Linked DNA regions of Nothobranchius furzeri. The protein of the gene in region 1 interacts with the protein of each later gene in a biochemical or structural test. Links are inferred from orthologs where the notes say so. Each region holds a gene or a part of one and is shown in the gene's direction. Other genes may lie near its edges. The genes, in order: uso1 and stx5a.

Evidence for each region.
Region 2: the proteins of uso1 (region 1) and stx5a form a complex in vitro, tested with the Homo sapiens proteins (2 studies listed by BioGRID). The link is inferred for Nothobranchius furzeri from reciprocal best matches to the Homo sapiens genes USO1 and STX5.

Annotation. Positions count from the first base shown.
Region 1 is NC_091744.1:13,149,863-13,161,693, forward strand, and holds the end of uso1 (general vesicular transport factor p115), read left to right. Parts: intron 1-1,202; coding exon 1,203-1,303; intron 1,304-1,388; coding exon 1,389-1,491; intron 1,492-1,596; coding exon 1,597-1,652; intron 1,653-1,744; coding exon 1,745-1,865; intron 1,866-1,949; coding exon 1,950-2,128; intron 2,129-2,209; coding exon 2,210-2,350; intron 2,351-2,426; coding exon 2,427-2,515; intron 2,516-2,600; coding exon 2,601-2,755; intron 2,756-2,829; coding exon 2,830-3,035; intron 3,036-3,155; coding exon 3,156-3,176; intron 3,177-3,733; coding exon 3,734-3,748; intron 3,749-6,339; coding exon 6,340-6,450; intron 6,451-6,656; coding exon 6,657-6,775; intron 6,776-6,896; coding exon 6,897-7,078; intron 7,079-7,164; coding exon 7,165-7,286; intron 7,287-7,363; coding exon 7,364-7,502; intron 7,503-7,600; coding exon 7,601-7,767; intron 7,768-7,909; coding exon 7,910-7,972; intron 7,973-9,350; coding exon 9,351-9,449; intron 9,450-9,530; coding exon 9,531-9,629; and 6 more. UniProt on the Homo sapiens protein: General vesicular transport factor required for intercisternal transport in the Golgi stack; it is required for transcytotic fusion and/or subsequent binding of the vesicles to the target membrane.
Region 2 is NC_091741.1:87,973,771-87,986,308, forward strand, and holds the end of stx5a (syntaxin-5a), read left to right. Parts: intron 1-2,067; coding exon 2,068-2,123; intron 2,124-2,211; coding exon 2,212-2,282; intron 2,283-2,391; coding exon 2,392-2,508; intron 2,509-4,360; coding exon 4,361-4,417; intron 4,418-4,525; coding exon 4,526-4,607; intron 4,608-5,773; coding exon 5,774-5,860; intron 5,861-6,009; coding exon 6,010-6,113; intron 6,114-6,231; coding exon 6,232-6,353; intron 6,354-7,237; coding exon 7,238-7,397; 3' UTR 7,398-7,749; downstream 7,750-12,538. Other genes in the region: zgc:162144 (protein RD3), read right to left, coding at 9,701-10,073, 11,224-11,531. UniProt on the Homo sapiens protein: Mediates endoplasmic reticulum to Golgi transport.

The DNA of each region.
Region 1 (11,831 bases):
TTAGTCCCAATTCTAAAAAGTTGCTGAATTTTTGAGGCTGTGTTTTTATTTAGTGGCACGTCGCCAACCAGGATACATTTACAGTAAATGTCTAGGTGTCAGTGGGTCGTCACGTCAAACACGCAGTACTTGTTATGCTAAACATCAACTAACTTCACTAAATCCTACCACAAAGCTAAAGAAGGGCATTTAGGTTGCAGCACAAAAGCTTCACTAATATTACAACTCTTCCTATTCACGTGTCCTGGTTGGGTGGTGCTGCTTGTTCATATCTATCTTCTTTATTTTGATTTTGAAGCACTTACAAATCTTTTGGTCTTTGTTGTGGATTCCAGTGCCCACCTGAGATAAATGTCTGTTTGTTGGTTGTGCACAGTGGAATTCATCTGTAGGGACGACGGTGGCACAGGAGTTAAGTGCTCACCCCGTAATCGGAAGGTTGCAGGTTCGTGCCCTGCTCAGTCTGTCGCTGTCGTTGTGTCCTTGGGCAAGACACATAACCCACCTTGCCTGCTGGTGGTGGTCGGAGGGACTGGTGGCGCCAGTGCTCGGCAGCCTCGCCTCTGTCAGTGCGCCCCAGGGCAGCTGTGGCTACATTGTAGCTCATCCCCACCAGCGTGTGAATGTGTGTGTGAATGGGTGAATGACTGATTGTGTTGTAAAGCGCCTTGGGGGGTTCCAGGACTCTAGAAGGCGCTATATCAAATACAGGCCATTTACCATTTACCATTTATATTTTTTAGCTAAAGATGATGCGGTCTGGTGTCTACTGTTGCTGGAGACCATTTGATTCTCTTAGAGCGGTTAGAAATATAATAAAATTAGGGTCAGAAAACTTGAAATAGAGCTAAAATTGCTAAGGTGGTATCCAAACAGGAGGAAAGGCACAAGCATTGGTTGCAAACACAAATCAGAGCTGAAGTCTTGGCCAAAAAAATTTTTTTTAATGTTTTATTTTTTATTTTTTTAAATCTGATTCAGATTTAACATAAAATCTGCTTGGTTCCTTTCCTGTCACCACTGTGCACTTTTTACTTTTCCTGCTCACGTCTCTTTTGACGTCACAGTAGTTTTTGTGGTGGGTTCTCTTCAAATATAAAAATTTTGAGGAGTTATGGTTTGACCATCATTAGCTCTGACTTGAGCTAGCAGCTTTTAACACGTCGGTCCTTATTCCAGCTGTTCTTTTGCCCCTCTCACAGATGAGAATGCTCAGAAGCAGACTGATGACCTCGGAGCCCAATTTACAGAAAAGTTCATCCAGGACCCGGAGCACATAACGCTGCTCCTCACGCTGCTGGAGGTGCGTCTCCCTTCCTGTGGAAGAAAGTCAGGGCTGTCAGACTTAGCTGCTGCTTCTGTGTTTATACCTTCATGTCGATTTGTAGGAGTTTGACTTCCACGTCCGTTGGCCCGGGGTTAAATTACTGACCGCTCTCCTAAAGAACCAAGGCGTTCAGGTGCAGGGGATTGTCCTCGTCAGCCCCATGGGTGAGTTATTTATTAGAACTTTTTATATGGAACCTTACAATTTTTTAATTTGGAGAGTTGTACTTGCATATATGAATAAAAGAAAGACTTGGTTTCCTCTCACAGGTGTTTCCAGACTGATGGACCTGTTGGCAGACTCTAGAGAAGTCATTCGCAATGATGTAAGCACGTTTGTCCCCTTCTGACGTTTCCCAACAGTAAGATGCTTACTGACTCTTTGATTCATTATGATGCTGATTTCTGCTCCCAACAGGGCTTGTTGCTGCTGCAGCAGCTGACCAAAGGCAATGCAGCCATTCAGAAAATTGTGGCATTTGAGAACGCGTTTGAGCGTCTCCTGGAGATCATTTCAGACGAGGGTTGCAGTGATGGAGGTGTGAAAGGAGCTGTCGCATTACATCGTAATCCAGTTTTGTATTTTTAAATTTTGCTATTAAAAACGGCTCTCTGGTGTGCAGGTATTGTGGTGGAAGACTGTTTGCTGCTGCTTCTGAATCTGTTGAAGAACAACAGCTCTAACCAAAACTTCTTCAAGGAGGGCTCCTACATCCAGAAAATGAAGCCTTGGTTTGAGGTTGGTGACGATAACTCGGGCTGGTCCGCCCAAAAGGTCACAAACCTCCACCTCATGCTGCAGGTAACACACAACAGCCGTGTTTGGGTGGGGATTTAGTCCATATTCACGTTTTTTTAAATCTGTTCAATAAAATCATCCCAGCTAGTGCGAGTGATGGTGTCGCCTGTGAACTCACCTGGAGCCACCGCCAGCTGTCAGAAGAGCATGTACCAGTGTGGCTTGTTGCAGCAGCTTTGCACCATCCTCATGGCCACCGGCGTTCCTGCTGACATCCTCACTGAGGTGAGCCCAGCGACATCTCTAAACCAGTCATGTATTTTTATCTTGCTCCACACAAATCTGATCTGTTGTCTTTCAGACCATCAACACGGTTTCAGAGGTCATCAGGGGGTCACAGGTCAATCAGGACTACTTTGCTTCAGTCAACGCTCCTTCAAACCCACCAAGGTAACTTGTCTGATTTGGTGAATATCCCAATCAGAAAGGATTTCATGAACTCTGTGTGCGATCCGTCCACTTCCTGTCTCCTCAGACCGGCCATCGTGGTGCTGCTCATGTCCATGGTGAACGAGAGGCAGCCGTTCGTGCTCCGCTGTGCTGTCCTTTACTGCTTCCAGTGTTTCCTTTACCGAAATCAGAAAGGCCAGGGGGAGATCGTGTCAACCCTGCTGCCCTCCACCATCGATGGTGAGGACAGCGTCACATCCTGGAGCGTCCTGTCGTCAAGCTTTTGTCTAACGGCGTCCTTCTTCCTCGTCCAGCTAACTCCATCTCAGCAGGCCAGCTGCTGTGCGGAGGCCTGTTCTCGGTGGACTCTCTTTCTAACTGGTGTGCCGCCGTTGCTTTGGCTCATGCCCTGCAGGACAACCTCACCCAGAAGGAGCAGCTGCTGAGGGTCCAACTGGCCACCAGTCTGGGCAAGCCACCGGTCTCCTTGCTGCAGCAGTGCACCAACATCCTGTCTCAGGTAGGACGTGACGCTCGGCACTGACGGACATTGCCGAGCGGTGTGAGTGAGCGGTTTGTGTCAAAACACGACCGCTCTTAGTCAGATTGTCAAAGGTTTAATACTGATGCGGTTTTACAGGGTGATAAGATCGTCCGTAGGGTAAGTAAAGAGCATCTGTAGTGTGTGTGTGTGTGTGTGTGTGTGTGTGTGTGTTTGGGTGGCACTTGTCCTGGTTTATATTGGCTTGGCATTAGTAATAGGGGTCTCTGTGGCCCTTCTGTGGGTGGATCTTGCTTCTTAACATGTTAGTGTCCTGCTTTGACCTCTGACACACTTCTTGCTTATCAGTATTTGTTAGGAAGATGGAGAAACACTAAAATGTTCATTTAGGAGTTCAGAAGAGATGTTTGCTAATATCATAACAACTCCTGCTTTGGGCTTGAAACCTGAACGTTGCTTTTAGCCTCATCTATCTGTTCAGGAAGTGTGTGTTGCAGCTATTTCGGGGTTTTCTTTTTTCAGACAAGGGTCCTTCATCATCACTGTTTGTTCTTTTTCAGTAAAATGTATCCATGCACAAACAATCTTGTTGATGTTCGACCCAGAACCTTCTAGTCAGTCAGCTGTTGTTGACAAAAACATTCCACTGTTTGACCCTTGTGATTATTTCTTTCTTTTTGTTTTCCTCCTTTCCTCCATTTACGTCACATTTGGAGACAAAATCTGAAAAGGTGATTTGCTTTTGTACGTCGCTGTAGTAACACTGATAAGATTTATTAGTGTTTATTTTTCTCCTCATCCCCTCACCATCATGGCTCAGATCTCCGTATTCAGCTGATTTAATCTCGGATTGAATCTGCAGCTCGGACTCTCCTCCAGCCCTCGCGTCTTCTTTTTACAATCATTTTTTGTTCTTTTCATCTCCTGCAGCTGATTGGCACAAGCAGTTATGATGGCTGCTTAAAATGAGTTACAGCAAGACGAGTGGTGTATCTTTAACATTTAAAATTAAATTTTTACGTAATATTTCCTGTTTGTGTCATTGCCTGAAAAAGATTTGGTGGATTTTGTTTAGCATGTGCTGAAATCCAAAGGTATAAAAAGTTTAATTGGTTCTTAGAGTGATGGTTAAAATAAATAACAGTATGTTTGTGCTGTTGCCATGGAGCATTAGAAGACTGCATGCTCTTTTTAATCTCACTTTCATATGTATGTTTTTATTAACTAACTATAACCAATTAACTACTAAATACTGATGCCAATTAAAACATTAACTGATGACGTTAACATTATTTGTTTTTATAAACTGAAATTTTATTTTGTTTTTATTTCATCAGATTATTTAGAATTCCTATTTGGCCCAAATAACGATCATTTAGCGAAACTTTAGAAATGCATCAGCAGCTCAAGCTTCTAAAATTTGCTTCTTTGCTTGTTTATTTTTTTAAGTCTGCTGTTAAATTCCTTCTGATGAAGATGCATTCTGGTGCTTTTGTTTTATTTTTCTTATTTCACCCCCATGCACAGCCAGACTGAATTTTGCACATCTTGCATCCAGTTTTAAGGTCTTTCGAAAATAGCCTCTTTAATATTTAAAGACCAAGTTCAATGAGAAAGTGATTTTTACTTCTTATGTTTGAAATGTGATCATCCACTCTCAGTTTAACATGCAGGCCAAACGTGAAAATAATCTTCTACCCCTATTTCCTTCATTAGCTTCTGAAAAACGCTTGGATTAGAAAAGCCCAAAACAACTTCACAATGGGGAGCCTAAGTCTCCTCCCTTTCTGGTCGGCTCATGGATCCCCGGAAGAACGAAAAAATGAATGCAAGTCAACGGGGCTAAAAACGCTATTTTCTTATCCGCCTTCCCTTACGCCCTGGATCACACATATGCTGTACAGCAATTTAAATGAAAACTAACGATGGGTGTTTCGACCACGCCAGTCACGTACTTTGAGATTTATTAGCTTTTAAAAGTTCATAATTGGCATGACTACAAACTAGAAATCAGCATGTCGCATATGTGGCGTCACCACATCTCCTCTCCCCTAGCGTAGCTGCTACTTACCGAATGACCAGATTTATGCTGGTTCTTTCCTCCTGAGGGAAGTTTGCTGAACTTACAGCCCTTTTCCCTCAGTTTTCTCCGTGTCTGGTTCGATGACGTCACTTTCGTGAAGCGCATTTGTAGTCCTGGACTTATTTTCACACAAATCCTAAAATAACATTTCCCCTGTTCGAAAATGACGCATTCTTGGTATCAAAATGTGTCTTTAAAATTCACGGGCATCATGTGAAATCCATGGTACAAAACGAGCGGAATTAGAAAATAGTGTTTTTAGCCCCATTTTTTGTTCTTCTGGGGATCTATGGTCTGGAAGTAGATGGGTGTGACTGAGGCTCTGAAGATTCATGGACTCAGTCATCATGGCTCGTGATGGGCAAAGCTGTTGTTGGCTTAGCGTCCGAGAAACGGCGAAGAAGCAGTAGAAGCTAACTATTAGCATTAGCAACTCTACCACACTGCTGAACTGCTTCAGGCTTGTGTTATTTGTGGAGATGAAACCTCAGCGTAGCAGAGCAAAGAGTGCTAGTGGTAGAGTCATGTTGCTGTTATCCAATCAGAAGAGAGATGTCCAAATATCAGAAAATAATGGCCAGAATATACTTGCTTTTTAACCTTTGTTCACTTACTGCTGCACGGCACTGCATGTGGTACGGAGGATTCCACGAGGGGGCACTGTAGAGTAGTAAGACCGGGTAGTGAGCCGGGTTTGTGGGGCACAACCAAAACAACATGGCATCAACAGAAGAGATCAGAAACTGGGTAATTTTGAGTTCACGGCAGAAAAAGACAGCAGCGGTATCGTAGCTGGTTAGAAAGACCTCTAAACTAGAGACAGAGTTGCCATGGTGAGTGTGTCTCGCTTGTTTTGTCAACTCCCCCTACTGGCTACTCGTGTATTGCGGCTTTTAAACGAGTTGCATTAATTTTGGGGGACGCGGAAAAATGACCCTTCAAATCAACGCAAGCTACGCAAGGCAGCCATTTAAAACATGCTTATGTGTCGTTAAACACTAACTCCAAATTCTGCTGTGATGTGTTCCCCTCGGCTCGGGCTAACTTCTACTTCCTGAATCAGAAGTGCCAATTTTTTTTTTCCTTCACAGAGATCAACTCACAAGGCAAAAACTTATACTAGAGCCCACCCCAAACATGTTGGAAAAAACAAGTGAACTTGGTCTTTAAGATTTAATGTTTCATGTTTTTACCGGGTGTCTTCCTAAGCTTTTTGTTTGTGTTGTTTTCTTCCTGCAGGGTAGTAAAGTTCAGACCAGAGTGGGCCTTCTCATGCTGCTGTGCACTTGGATCAGCAACTGTCCCATTGCTGTCACACACTTTCTACACAATCAGGATAACGTTCCTTTTGTATCCTTCAGCATATTCACAGTTAGTTTTAAAATTGACTGATAAGACTTTGTCTCAGCTCTCACCTTCGGATAGCTTAAAGCTTTAACCTCAACCTTTTCATTTAAACTCATAACATTAAATCAAGTCTTCGGCTGCACTGACTCTGTGAGAGAATGATTGACTGAGGTTTGTTGAATGAATCTTTGACTGGGTGACTCCTGTAGCTGACAGCTCAGATTTCAGAGAACCTGGGGGAAGATGAGAGGCTGGTGCAGGGCCTGTGTGCACTGCTGCTTGGTATCTGCATCTATTATAATGACAACTCACTGGAAAACTACACCAAGTAAGTTATCTTGCATCGGTTTCACATAGAAACATGTTGATTTGGCCATTTTTAGGCATACACGAGAAGCCATCGTAGAGAGATTTGTTCACCATGGTAATGTCGTCATGTCCCTCCTCAGGGAGAAGCTAAAACAGCTGATCGAGAAGCGCATCGGAAAGGAGAACTTTGTGGAGAAGCTCGGCTTCATCACCAAACACGAACTGTATTCTCGGGCGGCTCTGAAGCCGCAGCCCATCTTCCCGTCTCCAGAGCAGATGCTGTTTGACCACGAGTTCACCAAGCTGGTCAAAGAGCTGGAAGGTCGGTGAGAAACGTGTCGTCCTGTCCGGAGACGGATCCGCTCATCCAGAGGGATTTTACAGGGTGCTCCTCTCTGCTCTACACAGGTGTGATAACAAAAGCAGTTCACAAGTCCAGTGAGGAGGATAAGAAGGAAGAAGAGGTGAAGAAGACATTAGAGCAACACGACAACATCGTAACTCAGTACAAAGAGTTGATCAGAGAGCAGGTGAGTGGACTTCAGTGCTTCAGTGTGATTAGGTTCAGAAACTCAGCACTGACAGTTTTTCTTCTCTTTTATGATAGGATGCTCAGATCCAGGAGCTGAAGGAGCAGGTAGCATCCATGACCACCCAGACTGACCAGATGCAGGCAACAATCAGCCAGCAGCTGTCTCAGATCCAGCAGCACAAAGACCAGTACAACATCCTCAAACTAAAACTAGGTGAGTTCACACAGCTGCCACTGCTCCTTCATGTCACCCGTGGTAGTGCAGCTGTGAGGTTTTAACTGAGCAGACACCTCTGTGGTTCTTCTCCTCAGGTAAGGACAGCCAGAGTCAGCCCAGCACTCAGGCAGATGGCTCTCAGGTGAACGGGCTGCAGACAGAAGAGCTGTCTCAGCTCAGGGAGGAGCTGGAGGAGCTCCGCAAGCAACACACACTTCTTCAGACACAAGTCGGTGACAAAGACGCCCTCATCGACAGCCTGGTTAGTGCAGGTTTCAGATCACCTGTGTGTTCATTCTAGAGATTCAGGAATAATGATAACATTTAGTGATGATGTGTGCAGTAATCTTGCATCTACAGATGTATAAAGAGGGCCTGACTGATGCTTTATTGTGTGAAAATAGAAGTCAGCAGCACAGACATCTGAGAGTTCAGGAGGAGGATCAGCCAACACAGAGCTGCTTCAGGTGAGGCTCCCTCTTCACAGGTCAAAGGAGATGCTAACATCTGGATTTTGGGCACAACAAAGACATCCTGAATTCCATCCAAATGTTCTGTGGCTAAATCAGGGGTCGGCAACCTGTTCCCATCAAAGAACCATTATTACCCGTTTCCCACAGTAAAGAAAACACTGGGAGCCACAGCAGCCGCGGCGTTGTGGGCGGGGCCTACCCTCAGACAGCAGAGAGCTGCTCACAACAGGTGACAGCAGCCAGTACCGGTTGCTCGTGTACGTCAAAGCTATCTTTCATAAGACGATAATCAATAAAACGATTTATATAAAATGGATCCAGAAGTTGTAGCCCGTTTATTTTGAAATTTTTCACCCTGTTGGTGGTTTTACTGAGCAGATGCCACTTTTGTCATATGCTTCTTTTTAAAACATGTTTAGACTGTTCAGAATACAAATCCAGGCTCTGTCACGTTTGATTGTTGTAATTAAACTTTGTAGGTGGGGAAGGTCAGAAAAGGATCCGATCAATTTGTTTTTCCCTCATTTACAGTGACGGAGATAACGGCGCAGTGCGCCTGGCTCTGGTGTTAATCAAGTTAAATTATATCTATTTGCAACAATTTTCACAAGAAAACAAAACAGTTAAAAGCAGGGCTTGTGTTGACCGGATAGTTCCCGTATTTGACCGTTTATTTTGACGGAGAAAGAATTACCCCGACGCATGCAGACGAACTAACACTTTATTCGTTTCACACATCGCAGATGTAGCTAAATCACCCAAGAAAAGATTCCCATCTGAACATCTGAGCTGGACACTGCTCAGCGCAGCTCGCTGTCAGCGCGTACGTATACGGCGCACAGCGAGCTGAAGATGTGGAGAGGAGCTTGGAGCGCGTCGCAGAACCAGAGCGCATGCAGGAAGATTCCTCCGACTGAAGCGAGACTTGTCACTTAGAAAATGTTCTCTGATTATGAAACTTTGGCTGAATAGTGCTTGTTCCTGTTTCCAATGTGGCGTCTGAGGAGAGTCCCAGAATCTCACATCCTCGTCAGCTCAGAAAGCGCCGATATGATTACGCACAAGTGTGACCCGTCAACCCGGTCTCACAGTAAGACCGGGTTGGAAATGTTCAGGTTTACGCAGACAATCTTTACATTTAGAATCGGCATACAGATGTAAAATTAATGCAGTAAAGTATAAAGCATTTTATTTAAATATCCATTCATTATTTTACAAGCACAGAGAGCCGCATCAGATGGATGGAAGAGCCGCATGCGGCTCCAGAGCCGCGGGTTGCCGACCCCTGGGCTAAACGAAACAAGATAATGACTGCTGTGACGTCATTAGAATGTCTTGCTTTATAACGTCAGCTTGTGGGAATTTGTTGCAGGAATTGGAAGCTTTAAAGAGTCAGGTTCAGTCCCAGTTGGCTGATATCAACCAGCTGAAGACTGAGAGACAGGAGCTGCTGAGACGAGCTGAAGCAGGGGTAACAATTCTAAAACATCCCTCTAATCTGACATAAAGAAACTTTTAATTAATAAGCTAAAACCTCCTTGGTGTCGCTCAGGCCGCTGACGCAGCGCCCTCTAGTGACGGCACATCAGACGCCATCAAAGAACTGGAGAGCCGGCTCTCAGCACAGATGTCTGAGACGGAAAGACTGAAGGTGTTTTAGATTGATCCGTTTTAAGTGAAGTGATCTGATTTCTGTTCATAAACATTGATCAGTAACCACCGTCACCAACTCCTCCCGCTTTAGGAGAGCCAGGCGGGGTTGGAGCAGCAGCTGGCTTCTGCCACGAGCACCGTGGCTATCCTGCAGACGGAGAAGTCGAAGCTGCAGAGTGAGCTCCAAGAATCCAAGAAGGAGCAGGATGACCTGCTGATGCTGCTGGCAGACCAGGACCAGAAAATCCACGGCCTGAAACAGAGACTCAAAGACCTGGGAGAGCCGGTACAGAAACAACCCACCCTTAGTGGCGAGGTTTTGTCTTCAGGGCTTCAGATTTAGTTTTTAAACTAAATGATATAAAAATGATCGAAGTCTAGCTTGAAGTATCTCTTGCCTCCGTCATCATGGGTTCTGTCATCCATCCTACATCATTGAGCGAGCATCCCCTGAATGGCTCTGGTTCAGTAATGATCTTCACATTTCATTCTGGTCACCATGGCAACAGCAGTCATGCAGAGTGTCATTTTTAGTTTCTGTTAGGTAAAAACTGCTCTTGTTGTGTTTCTGACCCCAGATCAGCTAACGGAGTCGGGCTCCGTCCCGACACCACTCAGCCTTGTTCTGTCTGTCTGCTCTAGTTAGACTATGACTCTTCCCTCGCAGGTGGAAGATGAAGATGACATCGACGCCAGGGAGCAGACATCCGACGAGGAGGACGAAGACGAGGACTAGAAACACTGAAAGGTGTGATGTGAATCTGCCTCCCAAGAGAGAAGAAGAGACTGTCGAAAGTCGCCTGAGAAACTGAGGAATAGGACTAATATATATATATATATATCACAGCAGGTTCTCCACCAAGCTGCCATGCTGTCTTCATAATTCTCATCACATTCTCATATTTAACATTCGGAAAGTTTTTGTTCATGTTTGTTTTTCAGTGATTTAAACTCGTTGGTGCGTTCATCTCCACAAAACCTCTGTGACCAGTTCTGCTTGTCTTCTGTTCTTTAGTTGTTTTTAATGCACAGTCTAATCTGGGAAATCTAAAGAGGAGGGATTTAAAACGTAGCGATAAAAGATGATTATTAATTTAGTGTTTTGTGAGCGTCTCTCCTGCGTTCTGCTCACAACTCTTCTCTGTGCTCCACCCTGGATTCATCCGCCTCCACGCCCAGTACAAGGTTAGTATTACGGAGCTCTTTCCTTTCACCTCGACGGCTCAACACGACTGCTCTGCAACATGCTGCAAAACACTGACGACATAAAAAAACATGCTAAGATGTATTTTTGCAACCCCTTTTGACCCAGTTCTGGCATTAAGCTTCTGTATGATATTCTGTAACTTATGAGTTTAAAGAAAAACCTTGAAATGAATAAAAAATCTATCTGTATGCCATATGGAGGAAAAAAATGTAGGTACATTTTAATAAATCCACAATAAAATGTTTTGGTCTTATCTGCTTTGGATTAAAATATGTAAATATTTATTATAAATATTTAATCAGACTTTTATTTGGAAATATTCTTAAAGAAATTTGGAGCAAATTTAAAATGACAAAAATAAAACTCCATTAGTAAGTAAATGTGTACAAGTAGTTCTACTAAAGCGTGTGAAGCTTCTTGTAACGGCTGCTCCTCACCACTAGGAGGCAACAAACACCTGAGTTTATGTTCTCAATAACATTAACGTTTAATTTGTAGCTGTTTGGTTTCTGCCACAGTTCATTCTACATGAGACTTTCCTCGTGTGGCTGGAGTTTCTTATGTAGAGTATTTTGTTCAGGGGGTTTCGTGCAGACCTGAGATGGAAAAAACGGCTAGAATAGAATAGACTTGATCCCACAGTGGGAAATTTCACTTGGTACTGCAGCACAAACTCTTCAGAAAAATTATAAAAGTGCGCGTGTATATTTATGTCGATGGTATAAACACATAGGCAGTCAAATATTATTGTAACCTTCAACCACTGAAAAACCAAAATGAAACTTAGGTTCCAGAACTACGCAGCATAACACAGACATACTATGTAAATCTGGAACTGACCTCGTACAGAGTATTGCATTGATGTTATTGTGCACCAGTATAATGCCAGTACCAGTTCAACTGAGGAGTTATACAGTCTTACTACAGAGGGGATGAATGATCTAAGGTAGCATTCTGTTTTAAATCTGGGATTTGCCAGTCTGCCTCTGAAGG
Region 2 (12,538 bases), on another chromosome or scaffold:
ACAGGCACTGCCGCATGTTCCTGCCTTCTTCCCGGCAGCATACATGTCAGGACCCGACCCCCAAGGCCCCGCCCAGATCCCCACACCAGGCCGGCCACACCCTGAGCCCCCAGGCCCCCACCCAGACCTGCTCAGGGGCAATGCAGCTGCCAGGCAGCGACCCATGGCCTCCGCCAAGACCCCCAAGGGACCCCACTCACAACCGCCAGTAGTCCACCCCCCGAGGTTTTATTCTAACACGTGTTAATGAAGCAGAACCCAGTGTTTCCCTTACACAGGCATAGGTGGCGGCCCGCCACGGCTGAAATCCCAGCGCCACGCCTACAAGATCCCAAGTTTAATTGATTTTTTTTTTCTTTGTGCCATTTCCCGAAGAAGCAGCGGGAACTACTCTGTTGTTGCTTGTGATGAAAGCCGGCAGGCAGCAAGGAGGAGGAGGCAGGGCAGGGTGGTTACAGATAGGGCGGATAAAGCATTTTTGATGAATACGAGCATGAAACGAGTAAAACTCATAAATATCTGTAATCGTGCTGAAAGAAAATACCCATTGGGTAACTGTCTTCATGCTCCGTGATTGGCCAGTCACATAGAGCGTCCGCCCCTCCCTACACACAAAACTCTGCAGCCGGGAGCTCAGTCCGGCCCAGGCATCCACGCACACACACAGACAGTAACGGATCTCTCTGTGATTGCTTCACTGTTGCTCACGTTTCTTCAGTACTCCCTAGGTTTTCTTCAGCTCGCCTCTTTTTCGGTTGAATATTTAAAGTTACCTTTTCCGTAACATACGTGGTGCATTTGACAAGACAGAGCTGAAAACGGCTCATGCTGCGTCGGTCACTGCCTCATCTCCGGTCGGGTTTTTTAAAATTATTTTAACTTTCTCTCTCTCTCTGTCTCTCTCTCATACACACACACCTTAATCAACATTGTTTTGTTTAACTTTGTGTGGGGAAAATGCCAACAACGTTAGGAAAAAATCAGTTTAATCAAATTAAAATAAAAACATTAAAAAGGTTTGTCTGGTTCTAGTATTTTAATTGTTCTAGTATTTCAATTGGGGTCAGTAGTTCCTACTGCATGAGTTTAGATGTATTAACTCATATACTTAAATATTAATGTTCTGATTTTACTGAAAAACTTGTTCTTTAATAGTTCCTTTACTATTGTGGTCAAAAATATTTAATCTAAATTCTGAGGCTGCTCTGTAAATAGTTTTCAAATAAACACACATAGCAACTTCTGATCAATCCATATCAATTTCAGATTTAAAATAATGTATTGATGTAAACCACACCCACTAATTTCCAAATAATAAGTAGGAGTTGCATTCATCTGTGTATCTCCTTTGACATTAGTGATATTTTCAGCACCAGAACAATGAAGCAAAGAAACCGATTCCTGAGTTTATGCTAGTAATTTTATTTATTAGGTGCATCTGACCTGTTCTATTTTTCTCTGAAATGAGATCAAATCAGTGCTTCTATGGGTTGTCTCCTCTCTGCACTAGAAAAATGTGCTTCATTATAATGATCACTGTAACGCATCTTGATGTTCTTAACAAATAAATTAAATCAAAGATATTGGTCAATAATGCCAAATATGTAAATTTGTGTTTCAGTCATTTTTATACTGACTTAAAAATACTTCATTAAGTCGACTAAGCAGGGGTGTAGAACGTTTTTAATAGGGCCAGCCCAGTAATGATCTCGGACCAAAATAAAGGGGGCAGAAAGTCAAATAAAGGGGGGCAAAAGGAGATGTTTTTCCAGACGCCAAGAAAAATTAAATGCCAAATCCCCCCTGCAAAGTGTGTCACTGAGAGTTTAAAACAAAAATTATTTTTGTGCAAATATTGGTGTATTCACCTTTTAATACTAGTTATTAAAATGCAGCAGTTGCTGGATTGGTGCAGTTCAAAGTGGAGTGCATCAAATAAAACAATATTAACATAAAGGTGAGACGTGTCATAATCCCCACCCACCACCACAACCACCACAGCTAGAAAAATTTCTAGGGGAAACACTGAGAACCAAAAGTAAGTTTCATCTGCTTGTTTCTTTGCAGGAGGATTGGGAAAGACTTAAGCAATACATTTGCCAAATTGGAAAAACTCACAATTTGTAAGTGATGGTTTTGTCATTTCTGCAGAAATAAATATTTTGTTTTCCGAAGTGCTGATTTTTGCGTGCTATTGCTTTGTTATTTCAGTGGCCAAAAAGAAATCTTTATTTGATGACAAGGCAGTGGAGATTGAGGAGCTAACCTACATCATTAAACAGGTAGGTTGAAGTTGCTCTCCAGCAGGTGTGAGGTTTATAAATGTGTATTAAAAATATCAGTTTTTGTTTATTAAAATACTGACTTTTTCATATGTTCTTCTGTCCAAAGGATATCAACAGCCTAAACAAACAGATTGCACAGCTGCAGGACTTGATCAGGTCCCGCAGTGCTCCTGGTGGCCGACACATCCAGACCCATTCCAACACTATAGTGGTCTCATTACAGGTACATTTTGTGTATTTGTAATATCTGATCTGCATATGGTATATTTCATATTTGTTCAAAATAATGGTTTAAAAAACTTATTTTAAGGTCTTATATCATGCAAAATCTACTTTTTGAGGGTTTTGACCATGTTATATTACTTCCTCATGAAAAACAACCCAAATTTATTTATTTTTATGCATGTGTGCATGCATTTTTATGTCGAAGCATTTTCTTTCCTTTAGCTCTGCAACTTTTTGCTAAGCTGTTTCATGCTGCTGGGTGGGTTATTGCTATGTCACGACTTTATTATCCTCATCTAGGTGGTTTTGAGTCTGCATCCCTCCTCCCCTGGACTGTAAACACTAACACCCAGTCTCTCCATGTAGCTAGCAGAGACTTTAATCTCCACAGTTGTGATTTCTTTCCTGTCTAGTCTGCACTTTAAATAATGCAGTCATTGAGTTGCACATGTCAGCTTGAACCTCTGGTCTCCAAGTCTGCAGCTGTGTGCTAATTTGAAATTCACATTGCAGGAAGCAGGGTTTGATTTAATCTGAGCCTCTTATTTCTGGGTTGAAGTAATGGCTCACAAAAATAACTTGTACTTTATAAAAAAAAACATCTCGATAGTGCTAACGGTAATGTTTCATCATACCTACCAGGGTTTTTCCTGCCTCAAATTGAGGCAGAGGTGGTACCACCCTGACCATGTGCCAGCACATGCATACTCTGTGCATTCAACTGCCTCACTTTTTAAAGGCAAAATATTATAAAAGGCTCAATAATTTTAGATTAGTGTTTAGTTTCCTTTTTCCCATCTGATATTTATAGTTAAAAATATTTTTAAATATGACCTATATTTCAGTAACATTTTAGGTTTGTATTAATAACACTCATCTTAGTCAAAATAACACAAATATATCCAGTAAAATATAATGCATTTCATTAACATGCATTTGTATTGGAAATGGTAATAACATTTAATTTCTGCTGCTAACAATGTAATGGTGGCATGTCTATTATGTACGGGTTAGGGTTAGGGGGTGTTCCGTTTTGCCTTGGCCCCCAAAATGCCTTGAAACGGCCCTGGGCGTGTGACTGAGTTTTGAAGGTGATCTGAATTGTATCAGATGTACAAATATTACATGTGGATAACTTATTGTTTTATACTGGTAAAAACGTGTAGTGGAGATAAATCTACGTACGTTTTACTTTCAAGCTTTGTTTTCTTGTTTTTATTTGACTATTGTCCTGTCCTGTCTGTCTCTCATCTTCCTGCATCTCCTCTAAATTCTCTAGAAAAGCTGCTGTCTGGCTTCTTACTTTTTCACCTCATCAGTTACTTTTGAACAGATCAAAGGGATCTCCTGACCGCAAAGCGTAGTGCGCATTTTGATGCTGCGTCAGTGAGGTGAAATCACCGCAGCACAGGATGAGCGGAGCGTGTCAGGAACGATTAAAAGACAGAGTACCAGAGGATATAAACAGATATGAATAATCATGTGTTAATAATAGTTTTGTTGTGCCACCTTGAAAATGTATCGTGTGGTGGACGCAGCGGGCGCACCAACGATCAGCGCTCTGCGTCCTCTCCACTCAACATGGATGTTAAAATAACATCCATATAGCTGGGGGCAGAGTGAAATCAGGATGGGGCGGCAGAAAAATAGCTGGAGGCGGCCGCCGCACAAATTTGAACGCAGGAAAAACCCCGCCTACCATTGCATTGGAAGGTCTAAAATGGCATGATACAGGTCCTTTAAAATATCAGATAAAAAGTTTTCATCGCTTGTATTTATTACGTGCTATGCTTCTTTAGATGTGCTTTCAGCTGAATGATGGACTTGTTTTTTTATGTTTCTATCTGCAGTCCAAACTGGCATCAATGTCAAATGACTTCAAATCAGTCTTAGAAATCAGAACTGAGGTGAGAATGTTTCCATGTTATTACGAGCAGAAAACACTAGTACTGGTGTTCTAGAATGGGAGTTTTTAATGTAATTTAATTCTGCGTCGTCGTACGTCTCCTGTGTAGAACCTGAAGCAGCAGCGCAGCAGGAGAGAGCAGTTCTCCCAGCCCCCCGTCTCCTCTTCTCCTATGATGGCCAACAACTTCAGTAAGTCTCTGTCCCTTCTTGGATTCATGCTTTCAGTCACTAAATATAACAATATTTTGCCATGATCACTTTTTAAAACTGATGACAAGTGAATGTTGCATGCTGGTGTAGCTTAATGGTGACACGCTCATCCAACACGAATGAAGTTTGTGGGAGAAATCCCACCCAAGATTCAGGCAAAATGTTTAAACGGCTTATGTTATTTGAGCAAACAACCGTCAACAACACATTTAAAACTAATATAGATGCCTTTAGTTTTGGAGTTTTAGTGGTGAAAGCTACAAACACTAGTCTAATTTGTTCCACTTGTAGGTGCTACTGTCCGTCCCCTGCTCCACATGCAGGGGTTATCTGAAGGGTGCTGGGGGCTCTGATGCTTCCTTTGCATGAATCTACTCTACCAATAAAAACAGCAATTGTTTATAAGCATTTCTGGCTGAAGCTGATGCAACTGCTCATAAATACATTTAAAGATTGAACATGATGTGTTTGTAATAATTTCTATTTCTGGAAATGTCCTGCTCTCTAACCACTTGATCCACTTAGTCCTTCTGCCTTTTATTCACGCATCAATTCTTCTTTTTTGTTTAAAAATCATTAAAATAATGTATCTAAACAGAGCCCTGAACCCATAATTCATTTACAATACTTGTACCCTTTCACTTATCTCTACTGTAAATTTATCAGAATACATATTTAATGAAGTATTCATAAAGTAGATCTTTCTGTCCGCATGCTGCTTCACGTTTCGGTAGCACTTTACAGTAAAGGTCTCTATTAATGTTACTTGGTGCATTATTAAGCATTAATAAACTATTAAATAAAATGTTAACTGCTTAATGTTCTTATTAAATAATGCATCACTAAGCAGCCCCCCCAGCCCTTTGTCTCAACCTTAAGGACACTTAATAGTTAGCAATATCGGGAACGTTAATAAAGGGATTCTTTATTTATTAAAGCTTAATAGTGCTCTAAGTAACGTTAATAAAGGGACCCTTATTGTAAAGTGTTACCCACGTTTCTTTACAAGTTGTGGAGAGCCTTTGACTGCCAGTGTTCTTGTGTTGAAACCAACAGCTGTTGCTGTAGGGAACTGCTCAAAGTCCTTGTGATTGATTATTATTGTATTTGGTCCTCTGTAATGCAAAAATTAAAAAATATTTTAGGGAGCCGCAAAAAAGGGGCCCAGGAGCCGCAAGCAGCTCGCGAGCCGCGCAATGACTACCAGGGCTATACAACCACAAATTTAAAAGGTATTTCCCTGGAATGTCTGACTCTCCCAGCGGGTATGAATCGCTACTGTATATACCTGCTGATTTTTTTATGCCTTCCCCTGCAACATTCAGAGATTTATTCCAATTTCGTTGATCATGGGTTTGTTTTACCCTCTTGTTTCTTTCAGAGAGCTCTGTTCTGATGCAGGACGAGTCCCGGAGCATGGGAGATGTGGCCATCAACATGGACTCTCAGAGCAACCCTCTGCAGCTCCAGCTTATTGATGAGCAGGTAGCACTGCTGACATTTGGCAATCAGACACATCGCTGTTAACCTACAACCAGTAAATGGGCAGTGTTGTATTATACAGAACACTCCTTAACACTTGAAAAAATGTTTGGTGTTCTAGGACTCGTACATCCAGAGCCGTGCAGATACAATGCAGAACATTGAGAGCACCATCGTGGAACTGGGTTCTATATTCCAGCAGCTGGCACACATGGTTAAAGAACAAGAAGAGACCATACAAAGGTGGAGTACAAGTAGGAAAATGGCCACTGAAATCACCTAGTACAAGAATATGTTGTACACGTCCATTTTGGTCAGCTGAGAAGATTACAGTAAATAAAGGAAATTTGTGAGATGCTCAGTCTTAACACACACACACACACACGTGTATATATATTTATAATTGCCCTTCAGTGTATGTATGGCAAAATAGATTTGTGTTAAAAGAAGTGGTTTCAAGTTATTGCCATATGTGCCCTGCTTTTGGTTTAACTGTCCTTCACTCATATTTTCAGTACATTGGCAGTGGCCTATTGCAGGAGTGAAGGCCTTCTAAGTCATACTCTAGAGAGAAAAAAACTGGTGCATCTGTTTCAGCACAGAGAATTAAACCACAGGAAAAAGTAGCTTGAGACAGCAGGATTTGGAGTCTTATGTCCTGATATTTGGACATCTCGCCTCTGATTGGCTAACAGCAACATGACTCTACCACTGACTCCATTTGCTTTACTACATTGATGCTGTCCCTCCACAAATAACACAAGCCTGGAGGAGTTCTGCTGTGTGGTGGAGTTGCTAATGCTAATGGTTAGCTTCTACTAGCCATTATGTTGTCTGCTGTTCGCTGGAAGCTAAAACAGCAGCCTTCCCTGTCACGAGCCAAGATAGATGAGTCCATGGATGTTAAGTGACGGTGCGACGTAGATCTGTCAGGTTTTCAAATCCTCGATTTTCACAGTATTTTCTATTAGAAGCTAAGGCAGGAGACATGCTGCCTGAATGTTAAACTCAGTGGCCAACTTTCAAAAATAAGTAAAAAATAGTTTCTAAGTGAAGGACCTCTTTAAAAAAAGAAACCAGATGTGAGCAATGACAGCTGTAGCTCACTTCCTGTTGTCCTCTTGCAGGATTGATGCTAACGTGGACGATGCCCAGATGAACGTTGAGTCAGCTCACACAGAAATCCTCAAGTACTTCCAGTCCGTCTCCTCCAACCGCTGGCTGATGATTAAGATCTTTCTTGTTCTCGCTGTTTTCTTTATCATCTTTGTTGTCTTCTTCGCTTGAAAAAGTAAAGCAAGTGAAGAGGACCAGCTAAATGGAGGAAAAAGCACATAGAAGCTAAAGTTGGACCAGGTTGCACGACATAATGGAAGGATGAAGTTCTCCACAACGGTTTATTAAAGGCTGGGATTTAGAATCACACAGACTTTTCACTCACTTCCAAGCTACAGACTCTTGATTCTACAGCTTAATGAGGAATAAAGAGGTTGAACTCTGTCAAAATAATAAACATCTTCTGTTGGTTACTGAGCAGAAGGAAGCTCTGCTTTGTACTTTCACCAAGATTTACATTTACTCAAAATGGCTGTAAGTTAATGGTTTGATTCTGCAAACTGTCTTAAATTTGTTTTGTTTACCCCTTCACTTTATTATTCCAAAGCCAAACAATAGAATGGAAGTCTACTCTATTGTGTTTCTACTTCTCATTACAACTGAATGACTTTGTTTCATTAATCGGCATTACTTAATTCAACAGCATTCATTTATGTGATTTTGTTTTAGTTCCAGTTTTGCTTTCTAAGTTAATTTGCCAAATGGGTAGACTTACTGAACTGTGACATAAAACTAAGATGCTCAAGAAAGCAGTTTGAGCCATCCAAGCTGAAGTTTTAGGCAGGAGTCCTACAAAGTGTAGTTATATTATAGTTGTTATTTTAATTGAAGCTGTCTGGCCAGCAGCCGTCAGGTTCAGGGGTTTAAAAGTCCCCGGTGCAATGCCTCAGAGAGGATCAGCGCTAATGAAGGGGTTTTTCTGGTTGGAGACAACCCAATAATGAACAGATACCCTGGAAGTGTCTGTTAAAGTTCCCCACCTCTTCAGATTAGTGTTATTTAACTGACCATTACAACAAAAAGAAATGGTTCCTGTTTTCCCATGTTTTTAGCCAAATGCCTTGACTTCATTGTATAAAGTGCAAATAGTTATGATGTATTGGAAAAGAGTGCATTAATAAAATAATGGGATGCTGGCACTGATGTTTAATGTCTTTTTGGGATTAGAATGCTGGTTAATCATATCCTCACAAAGAGATTACTTGTATTTTCACTCAAGTACTCAACAAAATACATTATGTAAAACATTTAAGTAATCTGATTTATTAGAAAGCAGAATAGAGCCTAAGTTATGCAGTTGAACCAATCTAAGGTAAATCTGGTTGAATGAAGGGACTGGTTTATTTAAATATGATTTTTTTTTCAGCTAGTCAGCACTCATCCTTCAGGTCGAGGCATTTTTATTTGATGTATTTTGTACCAAAATTCTTTTAACCAAAGGTTTTTGGTTATGCTAAAAAGTAGTTTATCACTGGGATCCATTCATGTTTCAATGTTAGAGAAATATTGAATTGGAAATGTTTATCTTCTGTGCAATCCAGTTTTTCACCTTAAATGTTTCAAACATGCACCCATTTTCAAAGTAAAACAGACACTATTAAGAAAATGCAATGCTTTAATCAGAAAGGATTAGAACATTGTATATTTTCTCAAACAGACATGTATATTTAAAATAAAAAAAAACATGCAACTGACATGATTTACGTTGCAGAGATCTGAAGGAGAGCAGCTTTTCATTAACCTGAACGGCGGCTGCTGAAGAAACTGTTTCCCTTTTGTGGTGGAGACCAGTCTGCATCGGTAACAGAATATAAAGGAACAGTTTGTGGGATCTTTAGTAGGAGACTGCATCTAATGTTTGATTTGTTTGTAGATCTGTGGTCCTGTCCCATCAGGGTCTCTTTGTTTTGAATCTACAGCAGCTACTCTCCTTTATGGATATAACAAGAAATGTAGTAGCACCCAGTTTGATCTAAACATTTTATATTTTGTACTTTTATCAGGTCAAAGTCAAGTCAGCTTGTCTAAACCTCCATTTAAACTTGAAAAACTAAAACGGAACCATTTTGTTTTTTTAACAGCTGCTATTTAACGTGGTGATGAACGTAGGAGATCATCTAAATTTGATTACTGTCAGTGTGTCATAGCCTGCTACCCAGAGGATTGCTGCAAGGTTAAAACTGTCCTTAACCATCAGCTCTAATTAATCTTAATACCAGTTTCACTAAAGTTCGTAAGCAGGTAGAGTTAAACTAATGATTATGAAATCTCTTAAATACTTCCCTCATGTTCACAAAAAGCTATAGATGACGCAGAAGTGAAAGTTTTTTAAAATTAATTTTTATTTCTCTGACAATTCCTTACCCCTTTTCTTTTCATTTGTGATTATTTTCACTATCACCAGTTCAGACTCACGTTGTTTCCTCCGTGCCTACTTTTCTACACCAGTCCTTCTGAACCTTCTATCTGCTTCCTCAGCCATGAGCACTCTGCTCCATTGGGGTGATCTCTGGCATGCTCTTGCTCCTTCCCTTCCTGGCCCTAGCCTTGATAGCCTCCTCCTCTCCTTCTCCGTCCGACTCCTCCTCGGACCAGTCCACCTGCTGCTGCAGATTCCCTCTGGAGCCTCTCAAACCGCTGCCCTTGAACATCTGACCAGTGCGAAACTTTGTGCGAAAAGTAACAAAAGACAGGCTCTTGCTGCGTTGCTGCTTCTCAAAGAAAGTGTTGGGAGTTTGAAGATTGTCATTCTCGTTTATCTCATCGACACAGTCCCGTAGCACGGTGCGGAACAGCCGAGGGACCTCGTGAACCTCCGGCTCCATCTGAGACACCAGCCTCCTGAACCTGCAGTGGAAGGAGAAGGTTGGTCATGACATGGGTTTGGAAAATTTACAGAAGTAAATATGGGACTGAGAGAAGACTTTGCACAAAGAATGGAGTTGCTATCTTTAAACATTGACAAGGTGCTGATGCTAGAGAACTCGTGTGACATCTAACCAGAAATTCCATTTGCATTTTTGTTTTACAGGAAATATTTTTAAAGGAGCCATATTGTGAAAAAAAAAACACCTTTTGGATTCTTTAGTGCTGCCATCGTTCTCTACTGCCTCAAAAACACTCGAAACATGAAAAAACCTGTCCACCCATTTTTTCTCAGTGTTTGGTTTTAGGAATCGTTCATAAAACAAGAAGTTTCAAAAGGTCCCCATTTGTGACATCACAAATGGGGAATTTACTCAGGAACCAACTCTCACGTGCAAGAGAGAACTGCTGCTGGAGGAGCATGACTCTACTCTGAGCCCCTCCCGAATATCAGAGCTTCTCTGCCTATAGCAGACTGAGTGGGGCATGGGTGGGCGTGACCAGCTCCAGCATGCTTTCTTAAAGTGACAGAGCCTTGAAATCACCCATTCTGGAAGGCAATGAAACTGTAAAACTGCTGAAATTGTTTTATGCGTGACTTTTTGCAAAGAACTTCATCAACATGTTTTGTATCAACCATAGAACTATTATAAACTGAAATCAGACATTTCCCTTTACATACATTTGATCCCCCAATGTTTTGGGCCAACAATGAAACCTATCATTTTAAGCATTTTTTTTTAAAGATTGGGCTGATTAAAGATCCCTGAAATGAAGAACTAATCCTGTCAGCCATCTTTTGAAAGAAGTTCTGTCCTGAGTTATTGAACGCTTTCATGAGATGACCTGAGGGTTTGAGCATATTATTGTCTATAGGGTGTTAAAGGAGATAGCTGGAGCTCTAAATTCTTATTTTCACATTCTGTGTTGCAAAGTTGTATGTTAGGCCTGTTCCATGCAGGTGATTCAGAACTGGCTTTGTCTTTTATTTATTTATTTTTTTAATGTTCATCATAAAACTGATGCTGAGGGCTTCACCTCTTGTTATTTTTCATTACTTTGTATTTATCAGCCTCATTGGTCCTGAAACTGTATGCGTCATCAGCTACTACAGCTAAAACTCAAGTCTTACCTGACAATAGCAGGGCCACACTGTGCTGGAGGGATCTTGGCACAGAGGTCCTGCAGCTCCAGCAGGTCATTGGGGGTGAGCTGGTAGGGCTGTGGGGTTGGGTTGTTCGCCAGCCAGCTGTAGTCGGCCGTGGATGAGGAGCTGCGACGGCGGCGCCGACCCTCCGTGGCCCTCTCCAAACGGACCCGTTCAGTGCGCTTCACCATGGCCCCCAGCTCCAGCATCAGAGTATTGGTCACCAGCTCCTCAGTGGAGCGCTGGCCCGGCACTTTGGGCTCCAGGGAGAAAACAGCAGACCAGGGAAACATCTGAAAAAGATGGAAAGAGTTCAGTGATTTATGTAAAATATAAATTGTGCCTTGTAAGTAGAAAATTTTAAACATTCTGATAAAAAAATTGTCGCATTTGAGGACTAAAAATGTCTCTTTCATTTTATTTTTATTATTAAAATGACAAACAACCCAGAGTTAACCTCAATGGATTCCAGCCTGTGCACAAACAATGTAAAGCACATTTTCTCAATCATTTTTATATTCCAAATTAATACAATCTCACCTTTCGAAAGCTGGATTCAAACAGACGTGGCGTACTCTCGTGTGACAGAAATCAACCAGTTGCTCTGCAAAGACTGTTAGCAGCTGCCCATGTGGGAAGTGGATGAGTGAGGCTCCAGCGGGTGGCACACTGCTACCTGACTGCCTGGCTACCGCTGGCGGTCCCTGGCAGACCGTACGTGTGTCCTCCTGGGACGGTGAATGTGGAAGTGAGTGTATGAGTTTGGGATTGAGAATAAATGTCATCCTGTATTAATCAAGATTGAGTGACAAGAGGAGCTTACCTCATGACATGAGTGGGGACCTGGGCATCAGTGTGACGGAGACTCTTCAGGTTATATAACAGCTGTCTAAGTAGATGTTTTAATTTCATTGAATTTTCTTTAGCGTCAGTTTCCCAGTTTTAAAGCTAGTTGCTGCTGAGTGATTTTAGCTCAAATGACCTGGAAATCCTTGGATGGTCCATTATTACAAAAATTTCTTCTTTAGAACCTTCAGATATGACATTTATTATAACTGACACAGATTAATCTGAAGCATAGAAAGATCTCTCCCACAGGGCAGGCAGTTATCCTCCAAATCGTCAGGCTGTTATTGCTCAGCCTCACACTGATATGACATAACTACCTGTGTAATCGTTTTGTCACGCACCTGTAAACTCTCAGACGTGGTCAGTCTGTCCACCAGCCAGTCTGTGGCTCTGTATATGAGGAACATCAAGCCAGTTTGTGGGTTTCCACACCACTCAGCACTGAGCCACC